3 linked regions of the Anolis sagrei genome follow. The protein of the gene in region 3 purifies or fractionates together with the protein of the main gene of each other region. This does not show direct contact. Links are inferred from orthologs where the notes say so. Each region holds a gene or a part of one and is shown on either strand. Other genes may lie near its edges.

Region 1 (3,758 bases), on a different chromosome or scaffold from region 3:
TTCTATGTTTATCATTATAATATAGTATAATGATGATTATATTATCTTATATTAATATTATATATTTTATTACTTTTATCTTTATTGTATAGTTTAATTATTACTATATGATTATTATTATTATTATTATTATTATATTTTATTAAATATTTATATTTATAGCTATATCTATAAATCTTTGTGTTTCCTGCAGCCTCCTTCGAAAAGGCTTCTAGCAGCATAATCACGTGATTCCTGGAGAAGACCAATCCCCAGAGGCCTTTCCGGCAGGTACGGACTCCAACTCCCGAAAGACTTTGCCATTGGCCGCGAGGGAAGAGGCTTCTGGGAGTTGGAGTCCGGATGCGCCCTCGTGCCTGCGAGTAGGCCGCTTTTGAAGCCTGCGGGCTTTCCTTGTCGCCTTACCGGCCGAGGCTTCCAAGCCTCCGCGGGGAGGGTCCCAGGCGGCTTCACGGACACGCTGCAAGACCTCTGCTTCGTCTTCGTCGCTGCTGCTGCTGGCAATATTGAGACCATTCTTCCCAATCGCCGCCATTAGGAGAAAGCCAGGCGAAGTACGCATGCGCCGATAAGTTTGCCTTCCAGAGCAGTAAGCGCATGCGCGGGGATGGGAAAGCGAGGCAACCCTTTCCAGACCGAGGCAGAAAAACGGAGTGCGCATGCGTCGGCGCAAAAAAAAAAAAAACCAGCGTGCGCATGCGTAGAGACAACAAAACAAAGGCAACGGAGGGAGATAAGTACGCATGCGTCGAAACGACCAGCCAAAGTCAACGGCCGGAGACGAATGCGCATCCGTCCGCGCGAAAACAGGCATTCGGTCGGCTTCCTCTCAAGCGAGTGCGCCTGCGCGGAAGTGGCGGAACCATTTTCAGGGCGCGCACGGGTGCCGTAGCTTAAAGTGTCCCTGGTAACTTCCGGTTCCGGGAAAACCCTCTTAATCGAATCAGCTGACGGCGGAGGGAGAACGGGAGGCGTCGCTGGCGGGGAGGCTTGCCGGCGTGAGGGGAAGTAGGCAGGGGGCTACTTTCGGTGAGTAGGCTTGAGAGGCATGCCTCACGCCCAGGCAGGCTTTGCGGCCTAGCCTCCTCCTCCTTATATATATTTATTAGAGGGGTTTCCAATGGTATTTCCTTCTATTATTACCACAGGGCATTCTTCTATTATTATAGTAATATTATTATTATTCTACTATTATATTATTCATATATTCCATCATTATTGCTATAGTCTATTCTATTATTTATATATTCCACTATTCTCATATTATTATTATTCTACTATTATATGTTATTAATAATATATTCTTATATTAATCTAATTATTAGTAGTATTATTCTACTATTATATTATTACTATACTAGCCGTCCCCTGCCACGCGTCGCTGTGGCCCAGTCTGGTGATCTGGAAAATAATTAGAAAGTATTCGTTTCTAACATATGTCATGTCATTCTGCTTGTGGGTAAACTGTATTTCTTGCTGATTCTTTGTCAGTGTTGATGTGGAGATTGTCTGGTTTGCCTACTCTGGAACATATGAAATATATCATTGTCCATCTATAGGGGTTCCTTTCTATCTATGATACTGTATCTGTGTGTGTGTCAATCATATATATCTCTATCTATGGCTGGATGGCTCTTTGTCAGGAGGGCTTTGGTTACGTTTTCTTGTCCTGGTGAAGGGAATTGGACTGGATGGCCATAAGTATGGGGATTCTGTGTGGGAAGTTTGCCCCAATTCTGTCGTTGGTGGGGTTCAGCATGCTCTTTGGTTGTAGGTGAACTATAAATCCCAGTAACTACAACTCCCAAATGTCAAGGTCTATTTCCCCCAAACTCCATCTGTTTCCATATTTGGGCAATATGGAAGATTCGTGCTAAGTTTGGTGCAGATCCATCATTGTTTGAGTCCACAGTGCTCTCTGGATGTAGGTGAAGTACAACTCCCAAACTCAAGGTCAGTGCCCACCAAACCTTTCTAGTGTTTTCTGTTGGTCATGGGAGTCCTGTGTGCCATATTTGGGTTTGAATTCCATCATTGGTGGAGTTCGGAATGCTCTTTGATTGTAAGTAAACTATAAGTCCCAGAAACTACAACTCCCAAATGACAACCTCAGCAGCAAAGTCTATTGACCGCATCAACATCAAAAACAGACAACAATCACCATCCCAAGACCCCCACAACAGCGAACCAACACACATTCAAACCTGATTAGGTTAAAAGATAACTAAAAATATCATCATTAAAATGTCAAGATAAAATTTCATACCTAAATGACAACCTCATTTTTTTTGAGTGATGGTCACTCCTTGGGTTAGTAGGTGTCTTGTGGCCAAATTTGGTGGCAAGTCGTCCAGTGGTGTTTGAGTTATGTTAATCCCACAAACGAACATTACATTTTTATTTATATAGATATATATATTACAGTATGGTATTTATTAATATCACATTATTATATTATAGTTTTATTCTATTAATATATGCTTCTATAATTTTTTTAAGATTCATTTTTATTAGTGAATAGCATGGGCATAACACATATCAACATTAAGTTAAAAATAAAGAGAGAAAAAGAAAAAACAACATACTAGTCAAGTATAAAAAGTCATTGGCATGACTAGATAATTGGGTTCCAGTACAGTGAAAGTGGGTGAACATGGTTTTAAAGCAGTGGTTCTCAACCTGGGGTCCCCAGATGTTTTTGGCCTTCAACTCCCAGAAATCCTAACAGCTGGTAATATAGTAGAGTCTCACTTATCCAACATAAATGGGCCGGCAGAATGTTGTATCAATGAAATGTTGGATAATAAGGAGGAATGAATGTAAAATTATATTATGATTGTACAAATTAAGCACCAGACATCATGTTTTACAACAAATTCACAGAAAAAGTAACTCAGTACACAATAACGTTCTTTAGTAATTACTGTATTTACAAATTTAGCACCAAAACATCGCAATTTATTGAAACAGTTGTGTCTCCGGGCAGGAGGCAGACTGCATTGGATAATTCAGAATGTTTGTTGAGCAAAGGTTGGATAAGCGAGACTCTACTGTATTATATATTCCATTATTGTATTATTATATTATTATATTCTACTAATATTCGATTCTATTATTAATATATTCTAGGTGTTAGGTAATATCATTTAGTTAACTAGTAACAGTATTTATTAGAGGGGTAGAAGCCAAATTTGGTATGTTGACCATCAAGATTCTGTGTGCCATGTGTGTTCTGTTGCGGTTTATTAGTCTATACGGAAGCTACTCAGCAGTCTTCCCAGCTCCAGCCCTTAAGTTGAATCACACAGAGTAGAAGGAAAAAATAACTTTTACTCTTGAGTAGTCAAATATGCAGCTTTACAAAGAAAGCACACCAGCCTTGGAAATATACATTGTCCATTGCAGAAAAAATAACTTACAAAATCCATGCATTAAATACATGCATTAGCTGCTTCTTTCTTGGTAAATAGTCAGCAATTCTTGTAGTGTAATCCCATCTGGTCTCTGATTATCTGATCAGACCTCCTCTCTCTCACACACCATCTCACTCACTGAATACATCAAGAAAGACTTCACCTGATATACACTAATCAGGGAGTGGCTCACATTTAATTGCTTCAGTGTCCTGGTGTTCTTCCTCAACACACACCCACATAGGAGATGATCCTTGTCAAAACTTACTATACAAATCCATATCCTGTAACATGTTCCTCCAGTATGTTCTGTTGGTCTTGTGGTCTAGGCTTTTCATTTGTGGG
Region 2 (3,758 bases), on a different chromosome or scaffold from region 3:
AAATCAATTAAATTATACCATTATATATATTATGAATATATACAACATAATATAATATAATTGTATATATATATGTGTGTGTTTGTGAGTATATATATATATATACACACACATATGTATTTATGGGTGTATATGTACAATGAAATTATACCATTATAAATATTATGAATATATATAACATAATATAATATAATTGTATATATATATGTATGTGTGTGTGTGTATATGTACAATGAAATTATACCATTATATATATTATGAATATATATAACATAATATAATTGTGTGTGTGTATATATATATATGTAAAGGTAAAGGTAGTTTCCTGACATTAAGTCCAGTCATGTCTGACTCTGGGGTGTGGTGCTCATCTCCATTTCTAAGCCGAAGAGCCGGTGTTGTCCGTAGACACCTCCAAGGTCATGTGGCCGGCATGACTGCATGGAGCGCCCTTACCTTCCCGCCGGAGCGGTACCTATTGATCTACTCACATTTGCATGTTTTCGAACTGCTAGGTTGGCAGAAGCTAGGGCTGACAGCGGAAGCTCACACCGCTCCCCGGAATCGAGCCTGCGACCTTTCGATCAACAAGCTCAGCAGCTCAGTGCTTTAACCCACTGCGCCACTTGGGGCTCTCATGAATATATATAACATAATATAATATAATATAATTTTGTGTGTGTGTGTATATTTATACACACACACACACACACATATATATATATGTATTTGGGCATATATGTGTGTATATGTACAATGAAATTACACATTTCATTGTACCATTACACATATTATATATATTGTGTATATATATAATATAATTGTATACATATATATGTATGTATTTATGGGTATATATCTATGTGTGCATATGTACAATGAAATTATACCCTTTATTATTATTGTCTCATATCCTCTACACATGCAGAATCAAGTACAGACTTACCCCAAAGGAGGCAAACCTTCAATCCCTGCGTCTGCTATACATATAAACAGGACTGACTTCCCACCAGGCCTGACCGGAATGGAAAGCAACGGCGTTCCCGCCCATTCTTGAAAACCTCGCCTGGCCACGCCTCCTCCTCTTTTTCCTGCCCATCCCGCGCTCCCATTGGTCCAGACCCAAAGCTATCCGGAGGTGGAGGCCTCCCATTGGCGGAGAGAGGGAACCAATGGGCGGCGGCGCGAGGCGAGGGGGCGGGGAAGGGCTGCGATTGGCGGCGCCGGCGAGCAAAAGGCGATTCTGATTGGCCGGGCGAGAGAAGCGGAGGGCTGGGATTGGCTAGACGGAGGGGAACACGCTTCGGGCTCCGATTGGCCGGGCGGAGGAGGGTGGGGCCACGCCAGGCAAGATGGCGTACCAGACTTTCCGCCAGGAGTACCTTCAGGTTCCGCCGGTCACCCGGGCCTACGCCACCGCCTGCGTCCTCACCACCGCCGCCGTGGTCCGTGAGTCGCGCCCGGAAAGGGATTGGGGGCGGAGGGAAGCGCGGAGGCAGGCCTGAGGGGGGAGGGAGGCCTGAGGGGAAGCTAGGCCGCAATCGGTTGGGGTCTTCGAAGAGAAATCGAGGGGGGATTGTACACTCAGGCCTCACAGAGAGGATTCCAAACGCCTCCTCTCAGCTTTCTCTTCTTCAGGCTAAACATGCCCAGCTCTTTAAGCCGCTCCTCATAGGGCTTGTTCTCCAGACCCTTGATCATTTAACAGCCCAAAGTCTATTAACAACACATTAATAATGATTATTATGATACAATAATAATAATAATAATAATAATATAATGATAATGATAGACCACACCTGGAATACAATTCTGGGCACCACAATTGAAGGGAGATGTTGACAAGCTGGAATGTGTCCAGAGGAGGGCGACTCAAATGATGAAGGGTCTGGAGAACAAGCCCTATGAGGAGCGGCTTAAAGAGCTGGGCATGTTTAGCCTGAAGAAGAGAAGGCTGAGAAGAGACATGATGAGGGCCATGTGTAAATATGTGAGGGGAAGTCCTAGGGAGGAGGGAGCAAGCTTGTTTTCTGCTGCCTTGGAGACTAGGACGGAATGGAGCAATGGCTTCAAACTACAAGAAAGGAGATTCCATCTGAACATGAGGAAGAACTTCCTGGCTGTGAGAGCTGTTCAGCAGTGGAACTCCCTGCCCTGGAATCTAAATACGTTAGAGGAAGTCATAGGGAGGAGGGAGCGAATTTGTTCTCTGCTTCCCTGGAGACTAGGACGCAATGGAACAATGGCTTCGAACTACAAGTAAGGAGACTCCATCTGAACATTAGGAAGAACTTCCTGACCGTGAGAGCTGTTCAGCAGTGGAACTCTCTGCCCTGGAATGTGGTGGGGGCTCCTTCTTTGGAGGTTTTTAAACAGAGGCTGGATGGCCATCTGTCAGGGTTGCTTTGAATGCAATTTTCCTGCTTCTTGGCAGAATGGGGTTGCACTGGATGGCCCACCAGAGCAGTACCTATTGATCTACTTACATAGTAGGCCCCGCGGGATGAGAGTGGGAGTAGGAGCAGGGGGACCCATTCCTTCCCAGCCCAGAGTGCATGTGCACCAGAATCAAGGCTTCCCTCCCTCTCCCTAAGCCATTCCCCTCCTTACAAAGCTTATCTGCATATTGGGGGTGATGGGAGTTGTAGTAGGAGGCTGAGAGGAGACATGATGAGGGCCATGTATAAATATGTGAGGGGAATATGTTATAGGGAGGAGGAGCAAGCAAGCTTGTTTTCTGCTGCCCTGGAGACTAGGACTCTTACTGGAGTATACGTCCCCGTCCCCCCCTCGTGGGAAAATTTGATTCCACATCTCCCACTATAATGAGCCCTCCTCCACAAATAATTTGTTTCTCTTTTATCTCACTCGAGTTTTTAACCAGTTTTAATTAGTTCTTTTAACCATTACATGTAGCCCACCCATTGTCACTGTGTTTATTGTAATTTTATATTGCTGTATATTCATATGTTTTATGTAATTATGATGTTGTTTATTGTTTGCGTTTTCGGTTTGCATTCGGTTGTTCTTTATTGTAATTGTTGTTTGGGCTTGGTCCCATGTAAGCCGCTCCAAATCCCCATTGGGAAGATGGTGGCGGGGTACAAATAAAGATTATTATTATTATTATTATTATTATTAGGACCCCATGGAGCCATGGCTGCAAACTACAAGAAAGGAGATTCCATCTGAACATCAGGAAGAACTTCCTGACTGTGAGAGCCGTTCAGCAGTGGAACTCTCTGCCCCGGAGTGTGGTGGAGGCTCCTTCTTTGGAGGTTTTTAAACAGAGGCTGGATGGCCATCTGTCGGGGGTGCTTTGAATGTTATTTTCCTGCTTCTTGGCAGAATGGGGTTGGACTGGATGGCCCATGAGGTCTCTTCCAACTCTAGGATTCAATGATTAACAGCCCAAAGTCTAAAGTTTCAGAGTCTAATGGAGCCTCTGTCTTCTTCCTAAAGCATTCTGTTTCTACTGACATCTAAAAGCATACTCCTTCTAAAATGGAGTCTGAGTCCTGAATAGTCCCAGGTCTGATCACATCGTCAGCAGCCCCTCCCACAACACAGAGTTAAGGAAAACTGCATACCAACACACACATATACAATATTGTAAGCAATAACAAACAACTAGTGGAGGCTTGAAGAAGGTTGCTATTTCAAACAATTTTCGTTCGCAAAGGCGCCAAAATGTGGAACTCCAAGCTTTTGTCAGAGATCATTCACATGGGTTACAAGAAGCTAGAGATTGAAGTAAA
Region 3 (3,758 bases):
CTAAATGACAGATAATAGATAGATAGATAGATAGATAGATAGATAGAGGGATTATTTATTATCGAAATGACAGATAATAAATAGATAGATAGATAGATAGATAGATGGATTATTATCTACTATCTAAATGACAGATAATAGATAGATAGATAGATAGATAGATAGATAGAGGGATTATTACCTATTATGTAAATGAAATAACAGATATAGATAGATAGATAGATAGATAGATAGAGGGATTATCTATTATCGAAATGACAGATAATAAATAGATAGATAGACAGACAGATAGATAGTGGGAGTATTATCTATTATCTAAATGACATAATAGATAGATAGATAGATAGATAGATAGATAGATAGATAGAGGGACTATTATCTATTATCTAAATGACAGATAATAGATAGATAGATGTCCTGTTTCCTTCTTTCTTCCCTTTCTGTTCCTGAAGTCGCTTCCTTCCTTCCTTCCCCAATCCTCCTTCCTCCCTTCTTTCTTTCCTTTCTGTTCCTTCCTCCTTTCCCTTCCTTCCTTCCCCAATCCTTCTTCCTCCCTTCTTTCTTTCCTTTCTATTCCTTCCCTTCCTTCCATAATCCTGCTTCCTTTGTTCTTCCCTTTCTGTTCCTTCCTTCTTTCCTTTCCTTCCTTCCCTAATCCTCCTTCCTTTCCTGTCCTTTTCTTCCCTTCCTTCCATAATCCTGCTTCCTTCTTTCTTCCCTTTCTGTTCCTTGATCCTTTCCTTTCCTTCCTTCCCTAATACTCCTTCCTCCTTTCCTGTCCTTTTCTTCCCTTCCTTCCATAATCCCACTTCCTTCGTTCTTCCCTTTGTGTTCCTTCCTCCTTTCCCTTCCTTCCTTCCCCAATCCTCCTTCCTCCCTTTTTTCTTTCCTTTCTATTCCTTCCCTTCCTTCCATAATCCTGCTTCGTTCTTCCCTTTCTGTTCCTTCCTCCTTTCCCTTCCTCCCTTCTTTTTTTCCTTTCTATTCCTTCCTTCCATATTCCTCCTTCCTTTGTTCTTCCCTTTCTTTTCTGTCCTCCTTTCCCTTCCTTCCTTACCCAATCCTCCTTCCTTTTTTCTTTCTATTCCTTCACTTCCTTCCATATTTCTTCCTTCGTTCTTCCCTTTCTGTTCCTTCCTCCTTTCTCTTCTATCCTTCCTTCCCTAACCCTCTTTCCTTCCTTCCTTCTTCCTTTCCTTTCCATTCCTTTCTTCCCTTATCCTCCTTCCTCCCTTCCTCCTTCTCTTCCTTCCCTAATCCTTCCTTTCCCTTCCTTCCCTAATCCTTCCTCCTTTCCTTCCTTCTATCCTGTCCTTTCCTTCCTTCCCTTTCTGTTCCTTCCTCCTTTCCCTTCCTTCCTTAATCCTCCTTCCTCTCTTTCTTATTCCTTCCCTTCCCTAATCTTTCCTTCCTTCCCCAATCCTTCTTCCTCCCTTCTTTCTTTCCTTTCTGTTCCTTCCTCCTTTCCCTTCCTTCCTTCCTTCCCTAATCCTTCCTTCCTTTCCTATCCTCCTTTCCTTCTCCAATCCTCCTCCCTTCCTTCTCTTCCTTCCTCCTCGTCAGCGGCGCCGCTTCCCCGTCACAAGGCCGCATTCCTCCTCCTCCTCCTCCTCCTGCTCTGTCTCTCCGGGGGCGGCGCTCGTTGGCCAGCCGAGCGGGCGGAGGGCGTGGGGAGGCGAGCGCGGGGCTGACCAGGCCCAACAGGCCTGTTTCCTCACAGCCTCCCTCACAGCCTTCTCCCTCACCGCCCGCCATGCCGCTGCTCTTCCTGGAGCGCTTCCCGTGGCCCAGCCTGCGCAGCTACGCCGCCCTCAGCGCCTTGGCCCTCCTGGGCAGCGCCCTCAGCGCCTACCGAGCCCTCCAGGCTGGGGAGGCCGGGGCAGGCGGAGGGGAAGGCGGGCCCGAGGAGCAGGAAAGGCCGCGGCGCCAAGAGGCCTCCTCCGCAGAGACCCCGGGCCCCTCCGCCCTCGACGTCGCCGCGTTCCTCCTCTCCGACAGCCTCTGCGTCTGGGTAAGAAGGACCTCTCTCTCAGCATCCACATCCATCATAGGACCACCATTCAGTATTTGTCATAATAATAATAATAATAATAATACATCTCAATAATAATAATAATAATATTTAATAATAATAACAGCGAATAATAATACATTACAGTAATAACAATAACATTGAATCAAAACAATAACTTTCAGTAGTAATAAGAGATATTGTTATTATTGAATTTTATTAGTACTATAATAATATAATAATACATTTCAATAATAACAATAATAATACATCTCAATAATAATAATAATAACATTTAATAATACTAACAGCTAATAATAGTAATATATTTCAGTAATAATAATATTTAATAATAATAATACTCACAGCTAATAATAATAATATATTTCCAGAATAATAATAGTATATAATAATAGCTAATAATAATACATTTCAATAATAGTATATAATAATAGCTAATAATAATAATACATTTCAAGAATAATAATATTTAATAATAATAACAGCTAATAATAATACATTTCAGTAATAATAATAGTATATAATAATAGCTAATAATAATACATTTCAAGAATAATAATATTTAATAATAATACTAACAGCTAAAAATAATAATACATTTCAATAATAACAATAACATTGAACCAAAACAATAACTTTCAGAAGTAATAAGAGATATTGTTATTATTGAAATGTATTAGTACTATAATAATATAATAATACATTTCAATAATAACAATAACATTGAATCAAAACAATAACTTTCAGTAATGATAATAGATATTGTTATTATTGAAATGTATTAGTACTATAATAATATCTACTATTATTAATGAAAGTTTTTGCTATTACTGAATGTTATTGTTATTATTGAAATGTACTATAATAATAATATTTAATAATACTAACAGCTAATAATAATACCTTTAAATAATTACAATAAAATTGAGTAATAGCAAAAACTTTCATTAATAATAATAGATATTATTATTACAGTACGAATACATTTCAATAATAACAATAACATTGAATCAAAACAATAACTTTCAATAGTAATAATAGATATTGTTATTATTAAAATGTATTAGTACTATAATAATAATATTTAATAATACTAACAGCTAATAATAATACCTTTCAATAATAATAACATTCACTAATAGCAATAACTTTCATTAATAATAGTAGATATTATTATTATTATACGAATACATTTCAATAATAACAATAACATTGAATAATAACAATAACTTTCAGTAATAATAATAGACTTTAATACTAATAGTACAATTTAATATTTACAATATAATAATACATTTCAGTCATCATAATAATTGTTTATAATAATACATTTCAATAATAACAATGACATTGAATCAAAACAATAACTTTCAGTGGTAATAATAGATACTGTTATTATTGAAATGTATTAGTACTATAATAATAATATTTAATAATACTAACAGCTAATAATAATACCTTTCAATAATAACAATAACATTCAGTAATAGCAATAACTTTCATTAATAATAATAGATATTATTATTATAGTACGAATACATTTCAATAATAACAATAACATTGAACCAAAACAATAACTTTCAGTAGTAATAAGAGATATTGTATTGTCGAAGGCTTTCATGGCTGGAATCACTAGGTTCTTGTGGGTTTTTTCGGGCTATAGAGCCATGTTCTAGAGGCATTTCTAGATGCAGGCGAAACGTCAGGAGAAATGCCTCTGGAACAT

Evidence for each region.
Region 1: the proteins of AMFR (region 3) and RNF185 purify together in Homo sapiens (affinity purification with mass spectrometry; 3 studies listed by BioGRID and IntAct, with this or other methods). This does not show direct contact. The link is inferred for Anolis sagrei from reciprocal best matches to the Homo sapiens genes AMFR and RNF185.
Region 2: the proteins of AMFR (region 3) and DERL2 purify together in Homo sapiens (affinity purification with western blotting; 4 studies listed by BioGRID and IntAct, with this or other methods). This does not show direct contact. The link is inferred for Anolis sagrei from reciprocal best matches to the Homo sapiens genes AMFR and DERL2.

The regions. Positions count from the first base shown.
Region 1 is NC_090034.1:49,579,776-49,583,533, reverse strand, and holds the start of RNF185 (E3 ubiquitin-protein ligase RNF185), read left to right. Parts: upstream 1-893; 5' UTR 894-1,029; intron 1,030-3,758. Other genes in the region: CXH12orf43 (protein CUSTOS), read right to left, coding at 406-814. UniProt on the Homo sapiens protein: E3 ubiquitin-protein ligase that regulates selective mitochondrial autophagy by mediating 'Lys-63'-linked polyubiquitination of BNIP1.
Region 2 is NC_090031.1:30,189,173-30,192,930, reverse strand, and holds the start of DERL2 (derlin-2), read left to right. Parts: upstream 1-1,327; 5' UTR 1,328-1,352; coding exon 1,353-1,445; intron 1,446-3,758.
Region 3 is NC_090028.1:6,655,752-6,659,509, forward strand, and holds the start of AMFR (E3 ubiquitin-protein ligase AMFR), read left to right. Parts: upstream 1-1,521; 5' UTR 1,522-1,753; coding exon 1,754-2,011; intron 2,012-3,758. UniProt on the Homo sapiens protein: E3 ubiquitin-protein ligase that mediates the polyubiquitination of lysine and cysteine residues on target proteins, such as CD3D, CYP3A4, CFTR, INSIG1, SOAT2/ACAT2 and APOB for proteasomal degradation.